Stegostoma tigrinum: one gene and its partner. The protein of the gene in region 1 interacts with the protein of each later gene in a pairwise test. Links are inferred from orthologs where the notes say so. Each region holds a gene or a part of one and is shown in the gene's direction. Other genes may lie near its edges.

Region 1 (7,280 bases):
GGAGCAGGAAAGTCAATGTTTTGGGTTGGGACCCTTCTTCATAGCTGGGAAAGGGGTAAGGGAGCTGGGAAATAAATTGAGGGAGGAGGGGTGGGGCTGGGGGAAGGTGGGTGGGATGGCAATAGGTGGATGCAGGTAGAGGATGGTGGGGATTGGTTAGTGGGACGTGGGAAAGAAGATGGACAGGTTGTGTCAGGTCAAGGAGGCGGGGATGAGAGTGAGGGTTGGACATGGGATGAGGCTGGGGGTGGAGAGATCTTGAAACTGGTAAAGTCCACATTGAGACCATTGGGTTGTAGGCTCCCAAGATGGAATATGAGGTGCTGTTCCTCCAGTTTCCGAGTGGCATCGTTGTGGCACCGGAGGATGCCCAGGATGGACATGTCATCCAGGGAGTGGGAGGGGTGTTAAAATGGTTGGCGACCTGAAGGTGTTGATTATAGCGTGCAGAGCGCAGGTGCTTTGTAAATGCTCTGTAAAAACAAGCATGAGGGACTAGGGATAACAGGTGTACAGCTGGATGAACACAGCAGGCCAAGCAGCACCAGAGGAGCAGGAAGGCTGACGTTTCAGGCCTCGCCCCTTCTTCAGAAAAGTGGGACTAGTTTAATTTGGGAAACCTGGTCAGCATGGGCAAGCTGGGCTAAAGAGTCTGTTTCTGTCTTGAATGATTCTTTGACTTCCAGAAAGCATTTGACACAAAATCTCATCTAAGAGACTGTTAACTAAGGTAGAAGCCAATGAAATTGAGACAGATTGCTGAAATAGCTGGGAAATTGGCAGGGGTGATGGGGAGTTCAAACATAACCAATGGTGTCCCAGTGAGAGATGTCTGAGGGCCTCAGTTATTCACATTACAGGGGATCCCTGATTGCGAACATCTCACTGACAAAAGCTGATGCTTACATAAGTGATCCTATACAGGGATTTAATTTTAAAGATCCAAGATATGAGCATTTCCTGCATTTACTGGCTACTTTATATTGACCTGCATTGTGTCTGACTTTATTACAAATGGACTTGCAAACAAACTCATTTACAGCCTGGGCACCGCTTGTATTTATTCATGACTTGTTAAGAGAATAGAAAGTCATTTCATCAAATTTGCTGATGACTGAAAGTTAGGCAGAACTCTCGACAGTGTAGATGATTGCATGAAATTACAAAGGGATGTTGTTCGACTGGTGAATAGGCAAAACTGTGACAAGTGGAACTCAATGCAAATAAGTGTAAGGTAATCCATTTTAGATGAAAACAGTAGGACAGATCAGGGTTCTTTCTAGATGGTATGAAGTTCAATAAAGAGACTTGGGGGTGGAGGTGCAAAGATCTTTAAGTTCCAGCCCCCACAACTCTCTCCTGAAATTTACCATGGCAAATCTACCTAACCCGTGCAGCTTTAGACAGTGTGAGGAAACTGGTGAACCCCACACAGACTCACAGAAAATGTGCAAACTCCACACAGACTCACCCAAGGCTGGACATGAATCTAAGTCCCATGCGAACCACAGAGCCACTATGCCACTCCCAGGAGAGTTCATGGAATGCTGGCCTTCATACCCAGAGAGCTGGAGTACAAGAGTGCAGACATTCTGCTGCCGCCACAGAAAATCCTGGTTAGACCCACTTGGTGTACTGTGAGCAGATCTGGGCATCACAACTTAGCAAAGATGCATTGGTCTTGGAGGGAGCATAACATAGATTTACAACAATGATACCTGCACTTTGGGGGTGAGCTATACTTCTCAGATGGTGTACGTGTGACTGATGAGGACAGATTGTAGAAATGAGGCCCATTTTCTCTAGAATGTGGAAGGTTCAGGGATGATCTGATCAAAGTCTTCAGATTATTAGAAAAAGACAGGGCAAATGAAGATAAACTTTTCCGATGGTTGGGGATTCTCGAACTAGGGGCATAGTTTAAAAATTGGGGTCAGACTATTCGGGAGAGATGTGAGGAAGCACAAAGGCTGGTCGAGGTTTGGAATTCTCTTCCCCAAATGGCAGTTGATGCTGGGTCAGTTCATACTAAACCCAAGGTAGATTTATTTTGTTCCACAAAGGCATTTAAGGAACTGGGCCAAAGGCAAACATGGTGTTCAACTACGGATCCACCAAGATCCCAATGAATGGCAGAGCAGGCTCAAGGGGATGAATGGCCTTTCCTGTTCCTATGTGCTGAAGCTTCAGCTCCTTCCATCATTGATGCAATATGATTGCAGTCTGCACTGGAGCAACTTACTCAGATTTCAGCCTTGTCACTGCTTGGGCCAGAAACAGCAGCAAGTTTAGGGAACACAAATGCCTGTTCTCCACCCCAATGCTACCAGCACCTTCCGAACTGTTGTCTGTGTCCCCTCTGGAAGGATAAAGACAATAGCTACATGGGAGCACCATTGCCCAACAAAGCCCCACACCATCCTGACTTGGAACTATGTCACTGTTTCTTCAATGTCATTGGCTCAATATCCTGGAATTCACTTTGTCACAGCACTGTAGGTGCACCTCAGGGACTACGGCAACTCAAGGCAGCTCATCATTGCTGTCAAAGATGGGCAACAGCTACATCCTCATGTCTTGAGATTTCCTTTTAAAAAGCACCTTACGTGCTCCGTGCAAATTAAATGCGCCCACTTCTGCATTTGTAATTGAATCACACAGTGTGGAAACAGATTCTTTGGTCCAACTTGTCCATGTTGACCAGGTTTTCCAAACTAAACTAATCCTATTTGGCTGCATTTGGCCCCATATCGCTCGAAACCTTTCTAATTCATGTAGCTGTACAGATGTCTTTTCAATGTTGTTACTGTACTTGCATCTACCACTTCATCTGGCAACTCGTTCTGTGCATATCAAATGTAACATACTCCATAAGATATTGAGTCCAGAAGGCTGCAGCATCCCCAAGCAGAAGATGAGGTGCTGTTCTTGTAGCTTGTGCTGAGCTTCGGTGGAGCAGTGTTGCAAGCCTGAGGTCAGAGATGTTGGCCAAGGAACACAGTGCTGTGTTGAAATGGCAGGCAGCAGGAAGCTCATTCAGAGATAATAATAACTGCTGATGCTGAAGTCAGAGATAACAGAGTTAGCACAGTTGGTGCTCATGGTTAGCACTGCTCCCTCACAGTGCTAGGCACCTGGGTTCGATTCCACCCACGAGCGACTGTCTGTGTGGAGTTTGCACATTCTCCCTGTGTATGCATGAGCTTGCTCCGGATTCCTCCAACAGTCCAAAGATGTGCAGGTTAGGTGGACTGGCCATGTTAAATTGCCCATAGTGGCTAGGGATGTGTAGACTAGTTGGATTAGCCATGTGGAAATACAGGGCTACAGGAATAGGGTAGGGGGTGTGTGTCTGGGTGGGATGCTGTTCAGAGTGTTGGGGTGGACTTGTTGGGTTGAATGGCCTGTTTCCATGATGTTGGGATTCTATGATACAGTGTAGAGCTGGATGAACACAGCAGGCCAAGCAGCATCAGAGGAGCAGGAAGGCTGTTGTTGTGGGTCAGGACCCTTCTTCAGATTTCTCACTCTGCACAGCTCACAGCTCCAAACTGTGTTATCTCTTACAACAGGAAGCTCATAGTCTGTTCTGTTCACACAACGTCGGTATGTTGCAAACTGCTCATGCTCCCAGCCTGATATTTTACCTATTCCTTTGTGCATCCAACTGTTGCTCTCTCCTGGCTCCCGGTCCTCCTATGATTTCTTGCTCCCATTCCCGCCCTCCACCCTCCGGTGTATATCCCAACCCGAACCTCGCTGCAACCTGTTCCGAAGAAGGGGCCATGCATCTGAAACATTTCTGTTTCTCTCCGCAGATGCTGCCAGACCTGCTGAGTTTCTCCAGCAGTTTCGGCTTTGATGTTGGATTTTTTTTTCCCCGTTTACACGTAAAATGCCAACCAGATGCACACATTGTCTGTTCAGTAAATGCACCCTGAACTGAGTGGAGTCATTGGTGCCTCACAGCTTTGCAGCAGGGCGGGGTAGAGCCCCACATGGTCAGTGCCTGGGGAAGTTTGAGGGGAAAAAGAGAGGGAGAGCTGTCACGCAGGCGCGCCGCGGGGAGCCGGCCGCCGGCGCCTGGCGCAGGCGCACGGGTAGCGGAGCCGGGCCGGGCGCTCGGCGAGCGGCAGAGAGTTAGTGCGCAGGCGCGTCGCCGCGGCCGAGCATGAATGGAGGAAAATGGCGGATCATGTGCAGGTAACAGGGATGGAGCCGTCAGCCGTGTGTGCGGCGGCGAGAGCTCCGGGCTCACGATGGGAGGATAGGACGGTCCTGGGGGAGGAGAGCGGGGGGATGAGCTCTGCGGCAGGCGGGCCCGTCTGCACGGGTTGGGGATGGGAGGCGGGAGAAAGTAGGAGGAGGAGGAATCCGCGCTTGGAGCCGCCGAGGGAGGCGGCTGGAGGTTTGTTTTGAGCAGCGGGCCCGGGGAGGGGGTTGCTAGGGGTAACCGGGCACTGCTGGGCCAGGGATGGCTTCTTCAAACCTCGGCATTACTGATGTCAATAAACAACAAGCTGCTGCAGGCGCTGGGCCTTGGAGCTGCTCAAGCTGCTTCACCTCCAGCCTCCATTCTTTAACTGCAGCAAGAGAGAAACCCGAGCTTTCTAACAGTTTGCATCCATCGTATTTCATCATAAAATCTCATGGTTTCCATGCTGTTGTTGCATTGCCAGGTCTCTGCTGTTTTTTTTTGCATACCCTGTGTCTTCTTTCTCCCCCCACACTCACCATTTTGCATTCAACCAGAAAGGCTCATTGCACGAGGTTGAACGCGAAATGGATTTTGAAATGCAACATGACTATTCTTTTCGGGGTCGTAGCATGCTAACTTCATCGCGTTGTTGCATAAACAGTGCAGACTTGGGAGCTTTTCTTGCATCGTGCTGAGCCAGCAGTGTTGCATTGGGACCTGAGCTCAATTTTACATTATTGTTGCCTTCATTTGGAGACAAGTTCTTTCTCTTCTGCATACACACTGTTGATATGTTATTGGATGGTTCTGAATTGTCTTAGATCCCTGTGAAGGAAAAGTCTAAGCCATAAATAAATATCATGTTTCATTAATACTTCAAGGATATTTATGAATTTTTCACCTTGATCTTGTATGAGAAACCTCCTTTGCTTCCAACCAGGCGTTCTTGCTCTGTCTTTCCTTTTTCTTTCTTTTCCCAGCTCTGCTCCATGTTGTGGTTCTCCTTCACTTCCACCTTTTTCCCTGTCTGTTACTTATTTTACTCACTGCCGTGAAACTTGATGGAAATGCCTTGACAGAAAATCATTATCATATCAAGTCATTCCTCATTTGCAGCTACAATATCTCCCCTTGTCAGGTTTGGTCTTGTGTTTAAAAAAAAATCCACTTCAATTATTTACACGATAATTCTTGATCTTATGTTTCCTGTCGTTGCCAATCACTCTTCACTGATAATTTGATCTTTTGTTATGCCATTTTTACCTCTTAAAGTTCCTTAAGCTCTACGTTGAACACTTGTACCAAAAAAGCTGAAGCATTCATGTTTATATCTGTTTACTCTCACTTGGAAGATCCTGGCAGTCTCCACCTTCTTTAGTCTTTATTTTGATTTGGTGACTATTGGTGAATAGGCTTATTTATCTGTAATGATCCTCTAACAGATGATAACAAATAAGATGTTCCTTTTGAGTATGAAAACTCGTCAGTAGTTTTGCTGTAAACTTTCCCTATTCAATTTATTTTGTACACTTGGTTAATGTAAGTTGAACCAATCATCCTTTTCACTTTAACCTGTATTTGCTCCTTCTAAAGTTACTAAAATAGTAATACATTTGCATTGATTCAGCTGCACAATTTAATCCTTTCGCTTGTGTGGAAGTCTCTTGGAAAAATTTGAGCAGTGAAGTGTAGTTTGGCTTGTTTCTTCAATTGTGTTGCATTATATGCGATGGTATGCACACTTTGATTTTGCATTATCATCTCAAACCAAAGAGATTTGCTGAAACTTGTCTTTTTTTTACAAAAAGTCTTTTTTCATGGTAGATGTGTTTGTGACATGCCTGATTTCCATTGTCCATGCTGGAACTACTACTTGACCCATTTGAACCATTATGGTGATGGTGCACTTGGAGCTCCAGAGTCACTTTCCGGCAACAGTGAATGAATTGGCTTTGGATATCCAATTCCAAAGGGGGTACCATTGATGTCTTGGTCTTAGAGCTGTTACTCGTGTTGCTGGGTTGAGAGCTGCTTGTTAGTGGTGAGTTCAGTATTGTTGGTAGTGATTGTATTTTTGACCCAGCACCACCACAATCTTCCAAGCTTTTCTTCTGTAACTTATAATTTTTCCATTGATGAACCTTAACAACTGAATCACTTAAGGAATGATGTAGCACGAGAAATAAATTTATGATATGCAGAGTGATTGCAATGCAGCATTTGCTGCCCAAGGTGTGAGAAATTGTCCGGGAGCCAAGGTGCTCATTGAGTTCAGGTTTGTGGACATTGCACTGCTTTCTTTGTGAGTTCAAGTTTCTCCAGCAGTTACATAAATAGATTACTTCACATTCTTAATCTTGAGGATTGACAGTACATGAACATTCACTTAGGAAAGTGAGGAGCTGGACCCCCCAGTGTTTGATTGATGTGAAAATTGACGCCTGTTTTGGATGTTCGATGTGTGATTGAAGGAAGTGCTCTTGACTATTAAAGACAGCAATGCAGTTTGCAAGATACTGTGTTATCTCGTTAGTTTAAACCCTCCAGTCCTCCTGGAAGTTGACGGTACAACCAAGTACACAGTTGTAACAGCTGGGCCTCCAGGAGTCTTGATTCTTGTGGATCATTGGACATTTGCAAGCCCTACAGTGCTACAGTAGCTCGGAAGAAATTGTATTTTCATATTTCAGGATGTCCCTGAGTCCTGTGACAGCCATGTGCTAAGTAACAAAATATAACCACAGGAGAAACAACAGACTGTGTGGAATTTGAATTGCAGAGTTCAGAGGCGAGAGCATTAGGAGACAGGCCATTGTTTCTTTACTCCCACATCCAATGAATTATTGCTGTTGTCTTTCCATTGCGATGAAGGGCAATGGGACAATCAACAGGTATATGACACGCTCCCAGGAACAGCAGTGAAGTAAATAGTCGCACGATCAAGTTTATTGGTCTGAAGAAGAGTTGCAGGAGACTTAATGTCAGCTGTGTTTCCTTCTTCACAGGCACTGCTCGATCTACTAACTTTCTTCAGTGCTTATATTTATTTCACATTTCCAGCATCTGCAGTATTTTGCTTGAG
Region 2 (7,552 bases), on another chromosome or scaffold:
TGGAGTTCAGCCACACATCAGCCATGGTCTCATTATATGGCTCATGAACAGAATGGCAAACAACAGAACATCCCCATTTGACAAGCTCAACACATTCCACGATCAATTTAAACAGAAGGTCAGTGAAACCATGTCACCCATACCAACAGCCTTAGGTGCACCTGTACCCACAGTCAACGCTGCAGACGTTAGACTGGCCTTCTTGAGAGTGAACCCTCGGAAAGGGACGGGCCCAGTTGGAGTTCTTTCCAGGCACTCAGATCCGGTGTGGACCAGCTCCTGGGAGTAATCACAGACATTCTTAACCTCCCCTTACTGTGATCTGAGGTTCCCACCTGCTTCACAAGGACCACCGTCATCCCGGTGCCAAAGAAAAACAATGTCATGTGCCTCAGTAACTACCAGTCACTCTGACTGTGATAATTAGGAAGTGCTTTGAGAAGCTAGTCATGGCCCACATCAACTCCAGTCTCCCAAACTGCCTAGATCCTTTGCAATTTGCCTACCGGCACAACAGGTCCACGGTAGACATCGTTTTCCTGGCCCTGCACTCACCCCTGGAACATGTAGATAACTAGGATACGTATGCCAGGCTCCTAATTATTGACTAAAGCTCCGCCTTCAACACCATAATTCCAAACAAACTATCTCTAAGTTCTGAGGCCAAGGTCCTGACTACCCTCCCCACCCCCCCCCAACTTCTGTAATGGATTATTGACCCCCTGCCCTACAGACTGCAATCAGTAAGAATAGCCAACATTTCCTCCACCATAATCCTCAACACTGGTGCCCCCCAATGCTGCATAGTCAGCCCCCTACTATACTCCTTATAGACTCACGACTATGTGGCCGCATTCCACCCCAACTCCATTTACAAGTTTGTTAATGACATCACCGTTGTAGATTGGATCTCAGACAATGACGAGACGAAGTACAGCAAAGAGATTGTGTGCTTAGGGACATGGTGTAAAGTCAACAAGCTCTCCATCAATGTCGGTAAAATGAAGGAGCCGGCCATAGACTTCAGGACCTGGAGTGGGAGGGCACGCCCCAGTCTGTATCAATGGGGCTGAGGTGGAGAGGGTCGAGAGCATCAAGATCCTGGGAGTGACGATCACCGACCATCTGTCCTGTTCTATCCACGTTGACATGAGAAAGTCAAAAAAGCACAACAATACCTCTACATTCTTAGGAGGCTAAGGAAATTCGGCATGTCCACACCGACTCTTACCAATTTTTATAGATGCAACAAAGAAGTCATCCTATCCAGATGCATCACTGTTTGGTGCAGCAGCTGCTCTTCCTTAGACCACAAGAAACTACAGAAAGATGTGAACACAGCCCAGTCCATTACTCAAACCAACTCCCAACCCACTGACTCCATCTACACTTCCCACTGCCTTGGGAAAGCAACCAACATCATCTAAAACCCCTCCTACCCCAGCTATACTCTCTTCCTCTCTCTTCCATCAGACAGAAAATATAAAAATTTGAAAACACGTACCAACAGATTCATGAACATCTTCTTCTCTGCTGTTATCAGACTTTTGAATGAACCTCTCAAATATTCATTCCGATCTCTCTCGCTCTGCACCTTCTCTGTGACTGTAACACTATATTCTGCACTTCGTTCTGCTACCCTGATGTAATTTGTATGGTACAATTTGCCTGTAGCGCACGTGAAACAACAATTTTCACTGTATCTTCGTAAATGTGACGACAATGAATCAAACTCAAACTCAAAAATCCAAATATCAGAACAGGTTCAAGAGGCTGAATGGCCTACTCCATTTTTGTCCATCTTAAATTCTGAGATTAAACACCGTCTGGTTGTAGACTCTCCCATGAAAGGAAATGACCTCTTTGCATCTCTGTCAAGTTCGCAGAGTGTGCATCGCCCTCAAAAAGTCAGGATGAATCCATGACTGAAGAGAGGCTGTGATGACTCAATGCTGATCCTCAACCTCTCTGCCCTTGTTCATGATCATAGCCGCTCTTTTCTGTCCAAGGCCCTTGAGCAGTTACAAAAACAAAACACTGCAGACACCAGAACCCTGAATGAAAAACAGAAAATGCTGGAAATTCTCAGCAACTCTGGCTGCACGCAAAGAGAAACTGAGTTAATATTCGGAAATGAGAAACTTCAGTTACGTGGATAGATTGGAGAAGTTGAGACTGTTCTCCCTGGAGAGAGGGAGGCAAGAGGAGAACTGATAGAGGTTTCCAAAAACATGAGTGGGCAGGATACAATAGATTAGGAGAAGCTGTTCCCAATTATGAAAGGAAAATGAATAAGAAGAGATAGATTTAGTGTGATGTGCAAATGAAGCAAGGGTGACTTGAGGGGAAAAAATAACTTTTAATGCAGGGTATGGAATGCACTGCCTGGAAATGCGATGAGGGAGGTTCAACTGAGGTATTCATGGGAGCATTGGGTGGTTATTTGGATAGAAATTGTGTACAAGGATATGAGGGAAAGGCAGGAAAGTGAAGTTGAGCATTATCGGACCAGCCACGATCTCACTTAACGGTAGAACAGATTCAAGGGGCTGAAAGACCTATTTATGTTCCTCTGTGTTAAATTCTTAAAAGTTAGGTTGGATGGTTGGGGATGTGCAGGGGCTGAATCTGTGGCTGAAGAGTTGATTAATTAATACTTTGTTAGATATCTGCTTGTGTTCTGCTGCATGTTACTATTAACTTTAGAGATAATTATGATAGGTTTTCAAAGCATCCAGCTACAGGTATCTGAAAAAGAAATATTTATTTGCAGAGATAGTAGGAACTGCAGATGCTGGAGAATCTGAGATAACAAGGTGTAGAAGCTGGATGAACACAGCATCAGAGCAGGAAAGCTGACGTTTCGGGCCTAGACCCTACTTACAGAAGTGGTTTCGCATAATTTCTGCAACCAGAAGTCATCCTATTCAATCTAAAAGATAATATGTTTTTCTTGTAGTTGTCATGCATTGGATACGATTAAGGTATAAAAGAAAATCTTTGTGAGGTGCAGGGGAAAAGGAAAGCTCACCCGAAGCTAAACACCTGAAACCAAATGGAGCAGAATTTTTGAGAGAGTCACACAAATTTTAACTTTCTGTATTTCCATATAACATGATCAGGATTACACAGAATCATAATTATTATTGCACAAAGTGGGAGGCAATGACCAAATGGTATTATTGCTAGATTATTAATCCAGAAACTTGGCCATGATCTGGGACATAGGTTCAAATTCCGCCACGGCAGGTGATGCATTTTCAATTCAATAAAAATCTGGAATTAAGAGTCTAATGATGACCATCAATCCATTGTTGATTGTTGGAAAAACCCGTCTGATTCACATATTTCCTGTAGGGAAGGAAACCGCAATCCTTATCTGGTCTGGATTACATATGAGAGATAGTGGGAACTGCAGATGCTGGAGAATCCAAGATAATAAAATGTGAGGCTGGATGAACACAGCAGGCCCAGCAGCATCTCAGGAGCACAAAAGCTGACGTTTCGGGCCTGGACCCTTCATCAGAAAAGGGTTGAGGCCCGAAATGTCATCTTTTGTGCTCCTAAGATGCTGCTTGGCCTGCTGTGTTCATCCAGCTCCACACTGGATTATATATGACTCCAGACCCACAGTAATTTACTCAAACGCCCTCAACCATATAGGGATGGGCAATAAATGCTGACCGAGTCAGAGACACACATCATGTTAGTCACTTAAAAAAAACTAATTTGGCCCATTTCTAATGTGTAATTTCACTGCAATCGAATTGTCAATTTGAGTGAATAAATGAAGCACGACTATTGTACATTTAAAAGAAGCAGCACTGTATTTTAATATAATAAATTCAGCATTCGTACCAACTCTTTTTTTATCAAGTGAATACCACAATTGTTTCCTTCCTCATGAAAGTAGCACAGCCCTGTCCCTTTAAATGAAGCGGTGCATTACTCACTGCCCACTAGGTGGAGCAATGCAGCACATAACTGTTCGTTTAAAAGAAGCAATGCAGCAATCACATTCTCTATTAAAATAAAGCAACTTGGCTGTCACGCTGTTTCTTTAAATGAAGCAATACAATAATCACACTGTGCCTTCAACGCTGCAAGTAACTGCTGCCCTGGCCCTTTAAATGCTGCAGGTACCCGCTGTACTGTCCCTTTAAATGCTGCAGTAACCTGCTGCACTGTCCCTTTAAATGCTGCAGGTACCTGCTGCACTGTCCCTTTAAACGCTGCATGTTGCAGCTGCACTGTCCCTTTAAATGCTGCAAGTAACGGCTGCACTGTCCCTTTAAGGTGATGACGTGTTTGTATTGTGGCGACGTGGGGCTGCCACGTTTCCACGCAGGCGTACTAAGCGATGCCCGCTGAAGACGCCGTGTTTGCGGCAGTGCGCATGCGTAGATCCTGGCGGCCGGCCGTTGGGTGTTGGCGGCGCGCAGGCGCGGGTGTCGGCGGCCGGCGCTGTCTCGGGTGGGGACCGTTGGGCCAACATGAACTTCCTCCGCGGGGTAATGGGTGGCCAGAGCGCGGGGCCGCAGCCCAGCGGGGCCGAGACCGTGAGTACCTGCCTCCTAACACTGCTTCATAAACGGCTGACAGCGGCCCGGCACTTCGCTTTGTCGTCCAGGCCCGAAAAACCGAGGGATAGGCCTCTGGCCTCGGCCTCGATTAGTCAGAGCGGCTGAGAGTGTGTTGACGTGGAATAACTCTCCTGGAAAGACAGGGCTACGGGGTAGATATGTTCTCCGGACAGAAACAAATAATAGGCATGCTGCTACACTGAGGGAGCGCCGCACTGTCGGAGGGTCAGTGCTGAGGGGGCGGGCACTGTCGGAGGGTCAGTGCTGAGGGAGTGGGCACTGTCACAGGGTCAGTGCTGAGGGAGTGGGCACTGTCACAGGGTCAGTGCTGAGGGAGTGGGCACTGTCACAGGGTCAGTGCTGAGGGAGCGGGCACTGTCGGAGGGTCAGTGCTGAGGGAGCGGGCACTGTCGGAGGGTCAGCGCTGTTGGAGCGGGCACTGTCGGAGGGTCAGCGCTGTTGGAGCGGGCACTGTCGGAGGGTCAGCGCTGTTGGAGCGGGCACTGTCGGAGGGTCAGCGCTGTTGGAGCGGGCACTGTCGGAGGGTCAGCGCTGAGGGAGCGGGCACTGTCGGAGGGTCTGCGCTGAGGGAGCGCCGCGCTGTCGGAGGGTCGGCGCTGAGGGAGCGCGGCGCTGTCGGAGGGTCGGCGCTGAGGGAGCGGGCACTGTCGGAGGGTCAGCGCTGAGGGAGCGGGCACTGTCGGAGGGTCAGCGCTGTTGGAGCGGGCACTGTCGGAGGGTCAGCGCTGTTGGAGCGGGCACTGTCGGAGGGTCGGCGCTGAGGGAGCGCCGCGCTGTCGGAGGGTCGGCGCTGAGGGAGCGCGGCGCTGTCGGGGGGTCGGCGCTGAGGGAGCGCGGCGCTGTCGGGGGGTCGGCGCTGAGGGAGCGCGGCGCTGTCGGGGGGTCGGCGCTGAGGGAGCGCGGCGCTGTCGGGGGGTCGGCGCTGAGGGAGCGCGGCGCTGTCGGGGGGTCGGCGCTGAGGGAGCGCGGCGCTGTCGGGGGGTCGGCGCTGAGGGAGCGCGGCGCTGTCGGGGGGTCGGCGCTGTCGGGGGGTCGGCGCTGAGGGAGCGCGGCGCTGTCGGGGGGTCGGCGCTGAGGGAGCGCGCACTGCACTTCCCTTTGTAATTGACCATTCCTGTCTGGGGGCCCAGTCTCATACTTTGAACTCTACCCATGCCACTCACGATCTTTTAAACTTCAATCAAGCAGTCCCTCAACCTCTTGCGTTCTCGTGAAAACAAACCCAATTTGTCCAGACTTTCTTCGTAGCTGAAATCGCCCCCAACCCAGGCATCATCCTGGTAGACCTTGACTGTACCCTCTCCAAAGTATGCACTTCATTTTGGTAGTGTCGTGACTAAAACTGTACGCAATATTCCAAATGTTGCCTGACTTAAAGTTCTATGAAGCTGCAACAGCTCTTGCCTATCCTTATACCCATTGCCCCTTTCAATGAAGGCAAGCATACCATAGGCCTTCTCTTATTACCTTATCTTTCTGTGCTGCTACCTTCGGTGATGATATATAGTAGAATCCATCCCGTGTGGAAATGGGCCCTTTGGCCCAATAAGTCCCCACTGACCCTCAGAGCATCCCACCCAGACGCATCCCCTTGTAACCCACCTCATGCACGTATGCCCGAACACAGTAATTTAGCACAGCCAATCCACTTAGCCTGCACGTCCTTGGGCTGTGGGAGAAAACTCTGCATACCCTGATCCTTCTGCATATCAATACCTCTAAGGGTTCTGCCTCTCACTATAAAATTTTCACCTGTACTTCACCTTCCAAAATGCATCACCTCATTTTTTTCAGGATTAAACTCCATCTGCCACTTTTCTGCCCAACTGATCTATGTCCTGCTGTATCCTCTGACTATCTTCCTCACTATCTGCTACCCCAGCAATCTTCGTACTGTCTGCAAAAATACTAGTTAGACTAGCTGCATTTTCCTCCATATCATTTATATAGACCATGAACAGCGGAGGCCCCAGCATTGATCCCTGTGGAACACCATTAGCCACAACCTTCCATTCTAAAATGCATCCTTCCACCACTACTGTCTCCTGTGACTAAGGCAGTTCTGTACCCATCTTCCCAGCTCACCCTGATACCATACTTCACCTTTTATACCAGTCTAACAAGAGAGACCTTGTCAAAGGCTTGATTGAAGTCCACGTAGACAGCATCAACTGCTTTTCCTTCATCGATCATTTTCATCACCACCTCCAAGAAAAAGACCTCCCCTGCAGACAACTATGCTGGCTATTGCTAATGAGTCAATTTCTTTCTAAATGCTTAGAGTTGGCTTCCTCTCAAAATCTCTTGCCGAAATGCACTTTTTTCGGTTCTGAATTCTGTCAACGCATATTCTTAGCCAGTGAGTCCCTTTGTGTACAGCTTTCAAACCTGAATAAATGCCTTTTGATGGTTCAACTGGCATAGTCTCCTGAATATATCTCTCCTCACTCCTTGTATTCTTCACACCTTACTGCAAGTCACGCAGGTTCTAGCACTCCTGCTCCCATTCTATCAGATGTAACAGCATTGATGACCAGGACATCCAGAATAATACCCATCTCTCCCTGCTGTTGTGTATCTTTTAACCATGTTTCAGTCTTCAAGATCCAGGAAACAGTGAAGTAAATATAGGATTTAATACGTTGATATCTATATGATGAAAACAGGAACAGAGGCACAGGCAGACAAAACTATATCAAAATTCAGCTGGTTTCCACTTAAATATTCATGAAATGTGACCTTGAAGACACTGCTGAACAAAGTTTTGAATAAATCCATGGGCAAACAGTAAGAATTCTCAGACTTTTAAAGCTGAAACAGTTCCTCATTGATCTTCCAGAAATAAGACTTTTGAAGTTGCATAGACAGATTGTTCTGTTGCAGTGAAATGCCAATGCTTATATGTTGATATTTAAGTCAATTTCCTGAAATGGTACATTACTTTTGAT

What was found.
Region 2: the proteins of xpo7 (region 1) and uso1 interact in binary tests that used the Homo sapiens proteins (3 or more experiments, as listed by UniProt). The two-hybrid records come from large-scale screens. The link is inferred for Stegostoma tigrinum from reciprocal best matches to the Homo sapiens genes XPO7 and USO1.

Annotation. Positions count from the first base shown.
Region 1 is NC_081393.1:2,312,970-2,320,249, reverse strand, and holds the start of xpo7 (exportin-7), read left to right. Parts: upstream 1-4,096; 5' UTR 4,097-4,185; coding exon 4,186-4,203; intron 4,204-7,280.
Region 2 is NC_081354.1:2,791,274-2,798,825, reverse strand, and holds the start of uso1 (general vesicular transport factor p115), read left to right. Parts: upstream 1-4,426; 5' UTR 4,427-4,493; coding exon 4,494-4,559; intron 4,560-7,552. UniProt on the Homo sapiens protein: General vesicular transport factor required for intercisternal transport in the Golgi stack; it is required for transcytotic fusion and/or subsequent binding of the vesicles to the target membrane.